Linked DNA regions of Caenorhabditis elegans. The protein of the gene in region 3 interacts with the protein of the main gene of each other region in a pairwise test. Each region holds a gene or a part of one and is shown on either strand. Other genes may lie near its edges. The genes, in order: C06E1.1, Y105C5B.19, lgg-2 and ZK1055.7.

The links.
Region 1: the proteins of lgg-2 (region 3) and C06E1.1 interact in a two-hybrid assay, tested with the Caenorhabditis elegans proteins (one large-scale study listed by BioGRID).
Region 2: the proteins of lgg-2 (region 3) and Y105C5B.19 interact in a two-hybrid assay, tested with the Caenorhabditis elegans proteins (one large-scale study listed by BioGRID).
Region 4: the proteins of lgg-2 (region 3) and ZK1055.7 interact in a two-hybrid assay, tested with the Caenorhabditis elegans proteins (one large-scale study listed by BioGRID).

What each region holds. Positions count from the first base shown.
Region 1 is NC_003281.10:8,603,938-8,607,155, reverse strand, and holds C06E1.1 (HVA22/TB2/DP1 family protein), read right to left. Parts: upstream 1,325-3,218; 5' UTR 1,313-1,324; coding exon 1,187-1,312; intron 1,143-1,186; coding exon 1,032-1,142; intron 979-1,031; coding exon 730-978; 3' UTR 558-729; downstream 1-557. Other genes in the region: C06E1.9 (ASCC2 family CUE domain-containing protein), read left to right, coding at 1-235, 311-557.
Region 2 is NC_003282.8:15,981,034-15,985,566, reverse strand, and holds Y105C5B.19 (Major sperm protein), read left to right. Parts: upstream 1-1,596; coding exon 1,597-2,259; intron 2,260-2,807; coding exon 2,808-2,945; intron 2,946-2,993; coding exon 2,994-3,227; intron 3,228-3,289; coding exon 3,290-3,386; exon of another isoform or gene 3,387-3,390; intron 3,391-3,475; coding exon 3,476-3,566; intron 3,567-3,611; coding exon 3,612-3,719; intron 3,720-3,765; coding exon 3,766-3,889; 3' UTR 3,890-3,992; downstream 3,993-4,533.
Region 3 is NC_003282.8:10,933,632-10,937,507, reverse strand, and holds lgg-2 (Protein lgg-2), read left to right. Parts: upstream 1-1,604; 5' UTR 1,605-1,646; coding exon 1,647-1,752; intron 1,753-2,370; coding exon 2,371-2,539; intron 2,540-2,590; coding exon 2,591-2,744; 3' UTR 2,745-3,312; downstream 3,313-3,876. Other genes in the region: Protein adenylyltransferase fic-1, read right to left, coding at 1-36; lsm-7 (U6 snRNA-associated Sm-like protein LSm7), read right to left, coding at 3,398-3,503, 3,592-3,700, 3,828-3,876. UniProt on the Caenorhabditis elegans protein: Ubiquitin-like modifier involved in the formation of autophagosomal vacuoles (autophagosomes). When lipidated mediates tethering between adjacent membranes and stimulates membrane fusion. Less effective at promoting membrane fusion than lgg-1.
Region 4 is NC_003283.11:6,602,183-6,606,924, reverse strand, and holds ZK1055.7 (Protein F37C4.5), read left to right. Parts: upstream 1-1,549; 5' UTR 1,550-1,551; coding exon 1,552-1,692; intron 1,693-1,736; coding exon 1,737-1,856; intron 1,857-1,901; coding exon 1,902-2,136; intron 2,137-2,189; coding exon 2,190-2,298; intron 2,299-2,754; coding exon 2,755-3,409; intron 3,410-3,696; coding exon 3,697-4,149; 3' UTR 4,150-4,189; downstream 4,190-4,742. Other genes in the region: gon-14 (HAT C-terminal dimerization domain-containing protein), read left to right, coding at 20-122; ZK1055.6 (Protein F37C4.5), read left to right, coding at 4,321-4,452.

The DNA.
Region 1 (3,218 bases), on a different chromosome or scaffold from region 3:
CCTCATCGCCTTCTGAAAAAATTGCTGTTGATGCTGAGAATCTTGTTCCTCTTGCGACTTCGAAAAAGTATTCGGCATTGAACTCCTTAAAAATCAGTGAAGCAGATAAAGTGGCAATTCGGCCAACATATAATAAGTATCGTTACGAGACCCCGAATGATGGAGGAAATGGAGTTTATGATGATGAATACGATGATGAGTTTGATGGAAGAGAATTCAATATTGAAAGATTAAAGTTAGTTTTTGGTCAGATTTAAATTCATATTGCACTGCAACTTTTAAATTAAAATCATGAGAATATTAATTTCAGCCAAGAACTAGAAACATCGTCAGAAGAGGATGAAGCTGGATCTTCTGCACCACCTGGTTTATCTCAACCACCTCCATATCAAGGATCCCGTGGTGGACGTGGAGGTCGTGGAGCCCGAGGTGGCAATCGTGGTGGAGCCCCATCTGCAGATGGATATACTGGAGGACATGATCGTCAAATGAAAGAGAAACACAAGTCGGATATCAAGCAACGTGGAGCTGATAGAAAGAAACGAGGAGTTTATTGAGAATTCGATTTACAAACCAATGATTTCTTTACACTTGTGATAGCAATACAATTCGGTGTAAATTTGGCTGGGTGATAAATAAATTATATCAGTTTAAAAAAAAACATGTTCAAAAAAAAATCCCGTGCGTGTCAAAGTGTCAGTTCCGTAAATTTCCATAAATTCAGAGAGCTCAGTTTTCCTCCTCTCCAGGCGGCGGTGGAGTCACCAGAACCCATGTTTCGGTGAATTTCAGAGCTGGCTCAGACCATTCCTTGAGTTTATCGAAGCCATTTGTGGTGATCGAGAGGAAGAGCCCGGTTTTAGCGAAGTAATAGAATGGGACTCCAGGAAGAGCAGAATAGTCAAAAAGTGAAACCATTGCATAGAGAATCCAATAGAGGAGAATGTTGTCTGATGGATTCTTCTGTTGGCGGAGGATCTGTAAGAGTGTTCAGTTGATTTCTAATGAAAATGAAGATAGTTGAAATTTACCATGAAGCTCTCTTTGACTGGCCAGAAGATGCAAATGATATGAGAGAAGAGTGGGAGGAAGTTGCCGAGAAGAACGTAGATGGAAAGCATCAGGAATGCCATTGAGACGATCTGAAAACAAATATTGTTTTTAATTAAGACATTATATAACCTACTCTTTCTCTTGGAATTCCAGAAAACTTTTCAGCTTGAGTGAAAGTCTTTTCTTTCCAGTCTTCCTTGTTTCTTGCTTTCAAATACTCGTTGATTTTTGACTCGATTTTTGCAATAATTGTCGCCATTTTTGAATATCTGGAAATTATGTAATGTGGGAAGTCGCGCTCTACCGAACTATTCAACATTTTCGAAGATTACATAATAAGAAAAGACTGATCAAATATCAAGAAGGAAGTTAAAAAGAGAGGAAACGATGAAATGTGAAAATATTAAAGTCACATAAAGCGAGGCGAAAAACAAAACGAACGATAAAATAATAAAAAGGGATGGAAAAGTGAGGAACAAAAGACGGCAAAGATGAGAATCAATTGCAAATCGTGGCTTTTTATAAAATTATGCATGCAATAATGATTAGTCGGTGAGAAATTGCGAAACTATTTAAAAACCGATTACTTTTTTTCTTCAAAAAAGTCATGGTCAGTTTTCGTTATTTTGATGGAAAGTTTGCTGGGTGGTAGGACAGCAAAGACTCTCGTTTTCTATTTGTTTTAGATATCGTATGAGTCATACAATTAGTTTTCGATAAGTTGAGATTTTATCATAAAGCCGATAAGCTTTAATGGAAACTTTCAAAAATTAAACTTATTTTCCAAATGTAAATGTATAAATGTTTCCAGAAATATATCGGTTCTAGCTCGCAAAGACGAACAACAAAACAAAGAAATGAGCATATTTCTGCCATTTGCAACATACAAGAGAGGAGCAGATGGAACGTTTTCACCTGAGCACTGCACTCTCTTAATCTACAGTACTATCTCACTCAATTATATAGAGCAAATGATGCACAGACGGATTATAGAGGGACCGTATCGATTGGTATCGATACGAACGAAGAGAGAGACCGCTTGTCTACGTCACTGCCTACCAAATAGCTCCGGCATAGGTCTGTCTTTGTACCTACTTGGAATGCCTGAAAGATGTGCAAAAAAGAGAAGAACACTGGAATATTCCAGTTCTGACAAAACATTATATTAAAAAGAAGACATGTTTTTCAAAATATGTTACTCAAAAAAGTTTCATAAAAACTATGTAGTGAACTGAAATAAACGCTTCCAGAGTTTGTTTGTTGCATTCTTGTCGATGCACCATGTTTCTCTCAACTTTGACAACTGATATATTGACCATCTTTATTAAAAAAAAAAAGTTTTCTCAAAAATTGTCAACTATCAAACTATTTCAAACGATTTATGCTTTTTTCTATGAAATAGCAGTTTGAAATTTACTGAAATTTTTAAATTGAACCGGCATTTCAGTTCTATGAAATAGCAGTTTGAAATTTACTGAAATTTTTAAATTGAACCGGCATTTCAGTTGCCAAATTTATACCATTCTTTCTTGTCTATGCACCATGCTTGCACAAAACTCAAACAGCTGATATCTCGGTTGGAATTGCCTTCTCCATTAGAAATTTAACACCAAGGAAGATGGTGTCTGAATTTTTTAAATAGTTGGTTAGATTGGTGAACAGCGAAAAATTACAATATCTATAGCGAACAGAATCATTTGATAAACATACTGCAATTACAGGGGCACAAATCACAGGGGGACAATATGAATCCTGGAAATAACTCGAAAATTCGATTCTTCAATCTACAGTAATCTTTTGTAGAATTTTGAATCAAATTTCACATGTTAATTATCTACAAAGCTAATATTTCAATAAAACTATCTATAACCCCAAAATCATTCCCTTTTGCATGATCACAATTATGTGACGTATCCAATTGTGTCATCCGTTTTTTGAGATTTGGAGTTTATAGTCAAATGAATTCAGATCAAATCCCGTTTATTTGCCCGTTTTTCAAATACAATATTCTGTCAAAATCCCGACGTATTACCTCCAAACCAACATCAATATACATACGTTTTCGCTACAAAATTTCTGGTGATTTTTATGGAATTTTCCCACGAGTTTTCTCCAAATTGCTTAGTGAGCTACAGAAAAAAAACGAGAGTTCGTAAAATTGCATT
Region 2 (4,533 bases), 5.0 Mb from region 3:
AATTACTATTGAATAAGTAAACTTTTCTTGAAATCTTATTTCTTACTTGAAACAGTAATTTCAATTCTCGAAACGTAAAAAATTATATGATTTTTCCGTTTTTCCTTCATTTAAAATGATTTTACACCAAAAACAGTTTCATAAAGTTGTTTAATGTGTTCTAGAAATATCAATTATTTTATAAATTTCAAATCACTTTTTTGAGAAAAGAAATCTGAATTTTGTCAGAGATGTTTCAACTGGTTTTCAAAAGAAAAACTTGAGTAACTATTTTTAGTAGATAGATCCTTCGACCTTTCCAGTCGTTTTAACAGTGAAAAAAAAACCCGATAATCAACACATTATTCCACATTACTTGTGGGGTTTCTCAAGAACGCCTAACGCTAACGAAATATGAGCGCCCGACATCTACCGAGTTTCACTCACCTATATGAGATATAAATCAGTGCAGTAAAAGCTAATTTTCAAATATTTCCAATACACGAACAATAATGAAACTAGTCAGTTTTATAATATTAATTTCTGAAAATTTAAGCAGTTTCACAAATTTTTTTTCTTCGAAATTTCGACAAACTTAAAAGCATTATTGAATGATCAAATTTATCTAGTAATTTTAAGTCTACTTGAAACTGTAATTTCAATTCTCGAAATGCAAAACAAATTATAGGATTTCCGCGTTTTTCTTTCATTAAAAATCATTTATAGGGAATTATCTTTGAAAAAATAAACGTTAACAAATGTTCCCGAAACAACAGATTATCAGTCCAATAATATGTCAAGTTGTTCTTGGAGCTATGATTTGCAGTTGAAAAAGTGAAATTATTTTTATTTTCCCCAGCATTTTAAAAAAGTTACATCAATATTAAATACAAACTTGAAACAGTATTTTCAATTAATTAATTTTTTATTTTAATTTTTCTTTTATGCTTAGTTGTTTAAACAGTAGATGTTTTCTCTAACAGTTAACAGTTTTTTTTTAATATTTGCCATCTCTTTGTTGTGGGGCAAACGCTCGAAAAATTCAAAATTCTAATCAAAACCAATCAATAAACACTAAAAACGCTCCAAACCCCCCTCTCGTAAACCAACGTCCGTTGTCCTGAAACGTTCCTTTTCTCTGCGTCTCTCGTCATTTCTCTTACCACCACCTGCGTCTCTCACACTAATTCGGTCTCTCAACTCGCGGCGGGAGGCATTGCGCGCAAACAATGCTTCCCGTGCGGTGACGTTTTCGATTTTATCGGTTTTTATTTTGTGTTGTTTCTTGTTTCTCGTGAATTTTATATTGTTATTCACTAATTTTGAAAATTCGCGGTTTTTTAATTCAAATCTTTTTTTTAATTTAAAAAAAACGAGTGCTAGTCAGAAAGTCCCATTTTGCTTTGACCTTCAAAAAATGTGGGAGCAGCGACGCAGACATATCATCTGATTTTGCATGGTTTAGAGCGTGCTTACGTCACAATTTTTATGAATAAATATTCCCGCATTTTTCGTAGATCAAACCGAATGTGTGTACCTGACACCACGTCGATTATCACTATTGATTTTTTGAATTTTATTTGAACGCTCAAAATCTAAAAAAAATTCAATTTTCAGATGTCCCGCCGAGCTTCAAAAAGACCTGCTCCGTATCCACTCCTATGCGAACAAAAACCGGAAGATCTTCTAGTTGCTCCAGTCGAACATAAGGTTTACCAGGATTTTGAGCCTAAAAGACCCCGAGAATTTTCCCCCGTGATGGCTCAATCCCTTCCACCAGGAGAAATTGACTTCCAACCGAGCAAAATCATCTTCAATGCTCCGTACAATGAAAACCAAGAATCTAAAATCAAATTAATCAATACTTCGGCTCTTCGTATTGCTTATGGAATCAATACATATATGAAAAGACTCAGAGTTGATACGATGTGCACTCCAAATTGTGGAGTACTCGATCCAAGTGAGGAGATTCTTCTAACAATTTCCTGCGATGCTTTTGCATTCGGACAAGTAGATACCACAAATGACCGTATCACTGTCGAATGGACCAATACGTCTGAAGGATCCACCAAGCAGTTCTGTCGTGATTGGTTGGATGGAGATGGGATGGTTCGTCGTAAGACCCTTCCGATAGAGTACAGCTCATCTCCAATTGCTCAAACATCTTCGGCACCCCTTCTTCAGGCCTCTAAGCATGGGATGTGGTTGCCGATTGGATTCGCTGCTTCCGAATTGTACGATTATGCGAAAGGGGAACCATTGGATCGGAAGACTTGTGAGGTAGGTTTTGAGGGGATTATTTCTAGAGCAACTCGTATAGTGTCGGGCGCTGAAGTTCAGACGATTGAAATCTGATAGCAGCCAACATTGCACGGGCCTAGTTAGAATAACGAGTTTGCATGGCGAGACTTGTGAAATGTCGGTTTGCTTGTAGAAACAAAATCTCACCGCGAACTCCTCTAAAACTGCTTTTGCTAGCAGCCGACATTAAAACGAACGAACGGAAGCAGAAGTCGGTGCTTTACAGTATTGTTAAAGAAACTCGCAAAGTGTCGGGAGCTGAAATCCAAGTGCTTGAAATTTGATAGCAGCCGACACCACAATGGCCCAGTTAGAACAATATTGAATGTTGAGACTCGTGAAATGTCGGCTTGTTTATAGGAACAAAATATTACCCGTGGACTCTTTTAAAACTGCTGTTGCTAGCAGCCGACATTTTACGGGCCCACCACGGAATTTGCAGTCTAACTCGTAAGATGTCAGTTGCTTACAGTACATCATTGTAGTCAAGACCTTAGCCCTGCCAAATAAATCTTCAAATTTTTCAGAAAAACCTGGAGAAACTCATCAAAAATGACCGTGATGTTGACTACTACGAATGGCTCAATTTCGCCAAGCGGTGTCGAACACAAAATCAGAATTTGATGGAGGAAATGGCACTTGGAATGGCTTTCACTACGGCGATGGTGAGCAATTTCCAAAAGTTTCGAAAATTAAAAAAAATTCGCTTTCAGGCAAACAAGCAGCACAGGAAGATTTCTCGAAAAGCGGAGAAAATCACGGAACCGATCACAACGAACAAGGCATTCTCAATTGACTCAGCCGAGAAGTTTGACAGAGCTTTGACGTTGCCCAGCAGGAAATGGTTCATGATTTCCGATGTTGTGACGGATGGAGATGTGTCGAATTGGTCGACGGCTAACTTGGTGACTCTTGTGAGAGCTCTGGCGAGAACGGTTTTCGATAAGGTATGCTTAGTGGAGTCTTGCGTAGACTTTATAGAATCTTGCGTAAACTCCAAAAATTTAAGGTTGCCATTGCGGACCCCCATATGATGTGCTACGCAACTTCACAAAACGCTTCTACATATATTCCCATCGCTAGGGACTTTTTCGAAGGGTTTGCTGGTTAGTTTTCCACACGTTTCACCAAAAATTTATAAATTCTTTGAAACAGTAGGAAATTTAATATTAAAAAAACCATGTTCCTCTTCCAGAGTACATACTCGGTGGGTTCGGCGAAGAACAATCGCGAGACCTGAAGTTTCGAGTGAGGAAGCTGGTCACCGACGTTATGGGCAATAAGTTGTGAGTTTTACTGTCTCAGGGCTCAGTACTAAATTTATTTTTCAGAGACCGTGTGAGAGGCCGCCACAACAAAATGTATGGAAACGAAGCAAGTGAAGATGCCACAAGATGGCTCCGAGAGCAACTCCGCAAGGAGGATGGAGAGCTCAAAGAGTTTGTGATTTCATTGAGTTTTATAAAAATCGATAATTTTTTTCAGATCCCGACTAATTTTCCCAAATGGCTCAGAAATGATGTGTAACTATCAGGTAAACGAAGAAAACCCAGAAGGAAGTATAAAATCAGAAATTTTCAATGACGAAGAGGAAGTGGAAATGGAATAATTTGTTTTTGAAATTGTTATATTTTGTTGACTTTTCTATTAACTTATGTATTTCAATTCTGAAAAAAAAACATTTCAGCTGTCTATATAAAAGTTTTTCCAGCGCTCCTCTCATAGTTCTCAAGGTTTCAATAATTTGAAAATTTCAAATTTTTACTGTTTCAATGTGTTGTGAAACATGAGCTAAAATTAAAATGAAATGTTAGTCCCATAGTAAAAAGTTTTTGTTGTGAAATTGCAGTCCCGTGCAATTTTTGGCTCTGTTCGAGATTTTCTACTATATTTCCAGCCACAATTTGTAGAGTCGCATATTACTTAAATATAAATTAAAAAGAATCAATAATAACTGTTTAAAAAATAGTTTTGGGTCAACAGTGAAAATTTTACTGCGCAGAAAACTGTTGCTCACTTCAAATTTGAGCACAAAATCTATAAAAATTGTTTCATGGTGTTCATTTATTGGAACTGTTAGCATCAACATGAATTAAATTTATTGATCTCAGAGATCATCGGCTCAGATGATGTTCAACTCCAACTTTAAAAAGATTTCAGTGCCCTTAAGTACTTTAGCATTTTTTATAGCTCTTTTCACTTTTATAGTTGGAAAAAAAGTTTGAACATATAGTAAATGCGCCATTTTTGCAT
Region 3 (3,876 bases):
GAAATCATCGGAATGAGTTCGTCTTCGAACTGACATCACATTATTTAAAACTATCTGCAAAAAAACAAATTTTCCAGAACTTATTCATGCATTTGAAGCGAAAACAAGAAAAAAGATCTGCAAATTAATTTTGAGCATGATTCCACCTTTCGCTTCGAGACCAGAGTAAAAAAACGTTAATGCGCCTTTGAGTTACGGTAGTACTGATTAATGGTTTGAACACCAAATGCATTTTTTTTCGATTTTGGCATGTTTTCCTTCTTTTTTTTCAAGTTATATCCGAAAAACCTAATTTAAAAAACTGAATAATCTTTTATCTAAATATTAACCATATAAATATCGACATTCCACTCGATTTCACAAGAAATTTCTTCATCTTTGAAGTTCGTACGCGGAAAATGCTATTAAAGAAAAGAAAATAAACGAGACGCAGACAAATGCACACGGCGTGCGCAGTAACATATCGATTTTGAGACGTAAACATAATTGAGTTCACTAGTCATGAGAGTCTGTTTACTCGTACATCGATTTTTCACTTTTCTTTCTTTCCCCTCATCACTTATTGTTTTGCTCTTTCCATAGTTTCGTCCTCATCTCAAAACTTCTTTCGAAATTATTTAGATACCCGCATTTTCAACAACGGAAAATCTAAGGAAACCCTTAAAATGTCAAAAAAATATCGCAGATTGCCAATTTTTGCTGTGAAATCTTGATCATATTTCATCACTTCTCCCTTTTTCGAAAATCGCGTCAAAGATCTAAAGTTCCGAGAAAAAAGTTTGCAGAAAAAAACGTCAGTTGTTCTGATTGGGAGTAGTAGATTCAGACTGGAAGTTCTAGAGATCATCTGGTTCCCCTGCCCTTTATCTCTCCCTGCCACTATTTTCAAAGTACAAGCACTTTTTTTACGTAGACCGATATAAAAGAGTTGGCTGGTATAGATAAAATCTTTAGTTTTCCGTTAATTTAAACGGCCCATTTTAATATTAGAAATTTTCATTCATAAAACCAAGCATTTTCACACTAGAACATTAGTTGAGAAGTTTTCTAGGAAGTATTCAATTAAAACGTTTTCTCCTATAACTTTCTTAGTGTCGCCAACAAGTCTCGCTGTCATATTTATTTAATTCGTTGCCACTCATCGTTTCAAATTTCGCTATCATTTCATCTGTCTGACACTGCTTCGAACTTCTGTATTAGCTGGGAGAAGGGTCATAATACACACTCTCATCTTCTCTAACTCTATTCTTTCTTTTCCCCATCTATTCCTTCATCACATGATTCTTCTCTTCTCATCGTCTCTCCGTCTCGCGGTCATGTGTCCTCGACGCTCAGTCGATCTTGTGGTGTGAGAAAAGAGAGTAGCATCAATGAAGAGACACAGAGGACAAAGAGACATACAGCAAAAGAGCGTGTGTGCTGCCTACTGCCTCTGTCTCGATTTTTCCCTCTGTCCCATTCCCTTTCACCTGTCTTTTCGCTTCTTGATAAAAAAATTCTCACAAAAACATACAGTGTCCTTTAGCATCTCACACTCTAATTTCTCTTCTAAAATCAGTTTTCTCAACTTTTCAAATACCAGTTACCATTTTTCAAGTTTGCAGATCGAAAATCGGGTCTCAGCACGAAAAAGTGAAGAAGCGTTTATGCTAGCCACGCTTCAAAGTTACACACAAACAGCGATGAGCGGAAATCGGGGAGGATCTTACATTTCCGGAATCGTTCCATCGTTCAAGGAAAGAAGGCCATTCCGTAAGTTTTTTAAAATTCATTTACTAATCAAACAATTGTCATCAAAATAAAAATAGAGCTTCAAGTCTCACTTTAATTTTACTTTAACATCAAACATCTGGTTTTCATCCCAACCAATTCATTCCCAATCATTCCCACTTTTTTTTCCTTCACCCGTCCATTGTAAAAGGTCAGAGACGCAGAGGACAGACACCCCGCGTCATGCGTTTCAGCGAGAGAGCATGAGGAAACAAGAGACAATATGCAAGTGAGACATGTGAAAATCAGCTGATCTTGTGTGAATGAGTGACTATGTCAGTGGAGCAGCACCCATGGAACATTGCGTATTAATTGGGTGCTCTTCGTTGTATGAAAGAAAGAGATAGATGGACCTGAGAAACAAAGATCAATAGGGCAGGTGCAAGGGAAATAGGATTATAGGAAAATTTGGATCAATATTGATATTCTAGAGTTCAAAATATTGCCCACCATTCAAGATAACAACCAAAACTGAACGTACGCCAATCTTTAAATAGAAATATGAATTTTACGAGTGGAAAAGAGAAATCCAGAACTGAGGAACAACTTTTTTATTTTCAAATTTTCGAAAGAAAACCTTTTTAACCTATTCGATTTCAGATGAGCGTCAGAAAGATGTGGAAGAAATCCGCAGCCAACAACCGAACAAGGTTCCGGTAATTATCGAAAGATTTGATGGAGAACGCAGTTTACCACTTATGGATCGCTGCAAATTCCTAGTACCCGAGCATATAACCGTTGCCGAGCTCATGTCAATTGTTAGACGACGGTGAGCTATTCAACTGAGTTGTTTTTTCAAAATCATCCGTTTGCTTTTCAGCCTCCAACTTCATCCACAACAAGCATTCTTCCTGCTCGTCAATGAACGCTCAATGGTGTCAAATTCTATGAGCATGTCCAATTTGTACAGTCAAGAGCGTGATCCAGATGGCTTTGTGTATATGGTTTACACGTCTCAACCAGCATTTGGATAACACATCAAGAGCCGTTTTCCATCACAATTCTAATCAATTTTTAAATTTCCACCAACACCACTGATTGCCCAATGCAATCCTCACTGTAAAATGTTGTATTTTTAAATGTAAATACCTGAAAACCCATCATACTCAGGCGCCAACCATTTTTCTAGTTGCCTTTGCTAATTTCGCCCCTCGCAATTCCCCACCTCAAAACTTCCAGCTGAAATTTGTTTTACAAACGAAAAAAAAGAAACCCAAATTCGCTTACGTTTTCGTGTAGTCTTTATGTGTTCCCTCATAACTCTTTCTCCGCATTTTCCAGCCCGTTTCTTGAATTTCTTCATGTCTTCTTTTCACAACTGATCCTCTTTCAACAAAATTTAAACCGTTTACGATTCTGTGTACTTGGCTAGTCTCTAAAGCCCATAGGGACTATTTTCCTTACTGCCCTGAACATTGAAATTTACCGCTATGGACTTTCTGACTGCCTAGACGGATTCAATTCAAAATTATTACATCTTGTTCCATCGTTACTTTTCCAAATTCAATGTATCAAATGTTTTGTATGTAATAACAACTTTTTCGTCGTTTTTATCTGGAGAATGTTCATTCACAAGGAGATCACATACATATATAATAATAATAAGAGATGATGATGATATCAACGATTATTCTTCTTCCTGGGTTGCGAATGGATTGGCGATTTGCTCGAGTCCATCTGCTGGGCTAACTACTGTAATTGCTGTTCCGCGAGCCACAATAAGACCCAGTTGTCTTAAGATAAAAGATAAGATAAAATCGAAAATCTAGATTTAATTTGAAATCCAAGCTTTAAATCGATTTTTGGAAATCTATCAATTACCTTGTCTCATCACCGACGACCGAAGGATTTTGTGGATCACGGAGATACTCGCGGCAGTCATCAAGAACCATATTGAGCAACTGATCGAATCCTCGAAGCACGCCACTTGCTGAAATTTATACATTTTTATGGAGTGAAGTACAGCTTGTGTATGTTGGACGCTTTCATATTGTTTAAATAGTTTAATGACGGAATCTTATTGCTAGTGCACATCATTGTGCAAAAAAAAAACCAACCTTCACGTCCTCCTTGGAACTTGACGCGAATCTCTTTGTCGAGAAATCT
Region 4 (4,742 bases), on a different chromosome or scaffold from region 3:
AATATATTCAACTTTTCAGAGTCTCCTTCAACTTAAACACTCCTCTGACTGCATCGAAAAAGATGTATTTCATTCGTACAAAAACTGGTGTTACCCATCAGCTACATCAACCTCCACAATAATCCCAGCTCATACATCTGTACCTCAATTCACTTTAGTTATTTGTCACTAGTTGGTATTTTCATTGTTTTGTTTTTGTTATGCTACTTGTTTCGATATATCCGCATGTTGTTTCAAATTGACTATGCTAACGTTTTCTTTTCTCATCGACCAGTTTACTTCCCTGTTCTGTTTAATAGTTCTCAATCATGTTATTTTTCTCAATTTTTCTGAAGAGTATCTTATCATTTCTTTTTTTCTGTATTCCCAACTCACCTTGACATTTCTGAATTGTTGACCCAGCAAGAAACTTTGCATACCCTCTGACTGGTATTTCATATTTTTGGGAGAAAAAAAACGTTTCGAAAATTTGTGAATTATTATGTGAAAAAAAAAAAAAAAAAATTATCCTATCGCGTTTTCCTTTCTGCATCTAAGTCTCCAATGAGTCAGCACAAACACATTGCGAAACATTTTCTGTCTCTTTGGTATAAATAGAGAGTTTCCTCTCTTTGAAATGATTTGAAGGTTTTACTGATATCAACGTTATGAAATTTAGTCATCTCGTCGCGTTTCTTTTCGAAAAGTTTTGAATATTCAACTTTACGTTTTTTAGTTTTGGAAATTTCAGTGTGTTATTTCAGTTTATATAATGTTTCTGAATTTATTACAACACAAAATTATGAAAATGCGTAATGCGCTATCTGACTATCTGACGCGCAAAATATCTCGTAGCGAAGGCTACAGTAACTCTTTAAATAACTACAGTAGCTGTGGTGTCGGTTTACGGGCTCGACTTTTGAAACGTATTTATTCTCGAATAGTGATAAATAGCGATACTCTATTTTTCTTCGTTTCTTCGTATTATTTTCTCATTTTTGCTTAATATGATAAATTATATCTACATGATAAGTCAAAATGATCCCGTAAATCGACACAGGCGCTACAGTAGTCCTTTAAAGAATTACTGTAGTTTTCACTACGAGATATATTGCGCGTCAAATATGACATTAATAATATTTACAAAATACAGATGTTTTTTAAAAATATCTTTGTCTTTAGACAACTACTGCTATAATCTCTCATGCGTATATCGTATATTCGTTGAAATTTTAAAATTCAGTTTAAAGGCGCACACTATTTTTCTGTGTAGGTCTCGCCACGATCTCAGCTATAGTGATCGCTACAAGCTTCAAATTTCATGCATTGGTTCATTTAATGTAGAAATGTACGACCAGTTAGAAAAATACCAAACCAATATGTTGAATAAATTAACTTCAAGCCAGATTTTCTACAGTAAACATTAAGATTGTATCACCGTCCGTAAATCTATATATTCTTAGAAATGCAGCGATATTAATGATTAACAACAATTCGTGATATATACTTTCGTTATTTTAGAATTCCTAATATTTGAAAATACACACCTCTTAAAAAGAGTCATTTTCAGAAATGACCACCAACCCATCTGTCCACGAGTTCGAGACTCGTGATCTTAAAATTGCCGAGGTGAAAGTATTCACTGATAGAGCTGAAATCCGTCGTCTTGTCAAAGTTTCATTGAAATCTGGTGTCAATGAAGTTGTTCTCAAGGTTTGTAGAATATGAACAAGTTTTTCAAGTAGTTTTGAATTTAGAACCTCTGCAAAACAATGGCTCAAGGATCAATTAGAGTTGAAGGAAGAGGAAATGCAATCATTCATGATGTAGTTATTAAGAATGTTTCTCGTTTGCCAACTGAAGCTGATCCTCCAAAGGTTGGCAAGATAATTAAAATTCGAAAATATATTCTTTTTTTTAAGATCACCAATCTCAAAGCTGCCATTCTAGAGGAGAAAAATCGCCTCCAAAAAATCACAGATCGCGGAACGGTTGTCCAAAAATGCGTTGACAATTTGGACAAAGTTTTCGAACAAGTTGGTGGGGGTCTCGTGAATCCACCAAAAGATGGTGTTGCTTCTTTAAATGAAGGAACTTTGGAAAGTCTTACAAATTTCTTCCAATTCTATGGGAGCAACTCCGAATTATACAGAGAAAGTGAGTTTAAACGATAAATTTGAGATTTTAAAAAACTTAATTTTTTTTTCTAGAACTACGATCAGTTGAAGCTGGACACCGTGAGCAACAGGAAAAAGTTTCGAAACTGGAAAACGAGTTACGAGCTCTAATGCACAATTTGAATGAAGAAGCGTTCTCTCAGTGAGTTTTTGAAAAGTTTAAGGTGGAATTGTGCCAGTCGGGGAATTTACCAAAATATACTAAAAATGGGGCAAAAACAACTTTATATGTCTTTTCAAATCTTTCTTAATCTTAACTCAAACTTTTGGCAACATACCAAATTTTGAATCATTTAAAAAATTTGAAAAACTATCAAAAAACCCATAAAAATTTGAGGCGCACAATGAGCTATGCTTTGCTTTCTATGCACTATTTATTTTCAAATACAAATGGGATTACAGATAGATTTGAAGATATGCAAAAAAGCATCCAACCCTAATAAAAATTCGAAATATTATAAAGAAAAGTTCCATATGATTTTCCATCTATTTCTAGAAACAATTTATTTTTTGAGTCTTATTGTTTGACATTGTTAAGCTGTAGTATTTAAGATCACTGTTTGCCTATCTTCCCAACAAATTGATAACTTAATTTTAGCACTGCCACAATTACTTTGGAATGCACAGAAGACCTGGAAGCTGAGCTGAATGTAGTCTATCAAGTGTTAGATGCTTCGTGGCATCCATCATACGATATCCGAGTTGACACAGAGAAACCATCCATGAGCATTACATACTTTGGAAAAATCCGTCAATTCACAAAGGAAGATTGGACTTCTGCACCACTTGTTTTGTCAACTGCTCAGCCATGTCTTGCTGGCAGAATTCCAGATCTTGGAACTCTCGAAGCAACCTTCCGTCGTCCTGAAGTTCAACATTATCAAACAAGATCGATGAATGCATCAGCCTCATTATTTGGGGCGCGGGGACCGCAGAACCGTCGAGCCGAAACACTCGGATTTTCAGATGAAGTGACTTTGGCTCCACCAATGGCTGTCGCTGTTGCTTCAGAAATCACCCAAAACACGTTGAGCACAGAATTTAAAATTCTCAGAGAAGCAACAATTCCACACGGTACTGATGAACACAAAGTTACTATTGGAGTTGTGACTCTTACACCAAAACTTGTTCATGAATCCGTTCCAAGTAAGAATGCTGCAGCTTTTCTCACGGCTTCTGCTGTTAATACTTCTCAACTTGCACTCCTGGCTGGATTTTCATCTGTCTATCTGAATAATGCATTTGTCGCAACAGTAAGATTTTTTTGTTGAGAAAATTGATTTAAAACAAATTAAGTTGCTGAAATAACCAAATTTTAATAGTAAGAATTCTTCTATCGATTCAATCTTGTTTCACTCTGAACATACAAGAATGATCTGAATCTTTCAACAAAAAAAAAGAAAATTTCAAAACTTGGAAATTTGTCAAAACTCAACTAGAAGTCATTAAACCTCTAAAACATTGTATAATGAATGATATATGAAAATATTTAGTCTCATTGAATCAGTTTGAGTATATTTTAATAAAATCCAACTTTTAGAGTCACCTGAAAAACGTGTCACCAGGTGAAAGACTCACTTGCTCTTTGGGAGTTGACACGGCAATTCGTGTGGAGTACAAGCCGGCAAAGAAGTACCATGAGGAAGGAGGTTACATCACCAAGCACTCTGCAAATGTCACGGAGCAAACAATCTCCATCAAAAATACGAGAAATGAGCAGCCGGTGCTCCTAACCGTGAAGCATGCGATTCCACGTAGCACTGACGAGAAGATCCGTGTGAAGCTAGTTTCACCAGCAGCTACGCCATATGATGCGGAGAAGGCTGGCACTGAAGCCGAGAATTCTGAGCCTGTGGAAGGGGCAAAGTTCAATTCCAGCAATCACTTGGAGTGGACTATAAAGCTGGCTCCGAGCAGCTCAAAGGATCTGATCATCAAATATGTGGTGGAGCATCCAAAAGATGAAACTGTTCAATATCAAGAGAATTTCTAAAGTACATCCAACAGTGAATTGATACTTAAATGAAGTCGTCTATCTTTTACAGAAATTTTTGTTTTACAATTTTCCCATTTCCGTTTTATCGGTTTTCATTTTTTTAATGTTTTTTTTGCACTTTCTTCACCTCTAGTTATAATATGCCCATCGAATAATCTACGCTTATAGATGGCATCAATTTACGAACTTGACATTCGAAATCAGGAAATCAGTGGAATTACAATTCTCAGTGACCGAGCTGAAGTGAAACGACGGGTACCAGTTAATTTGAAAGCGGGAGTTAGTGAGATTTGTTTAAAAGTGAGTTTCTTTTTTTGAAAATCATTTTATTGAAATTCCAACACTTTAAATCTCAACTTTTGAATAATTTACATACAAAGACTAATATAAAACTCATTTTGTGTAGATTATCTTTCTGAAAAAGTTGTATATAAAAAATTATAGTAAAAATGAGCCAAATAAAATAAATATTAAAAAGAACATTTAAACATTATTTTGAAATTGTTTTTGAAACCTTTTGAAATGCTGGTAATTTGCAAAAATTTTGACTTTTTGGTGTATCAAAATGGTTACGCGGAGAACTAATAATA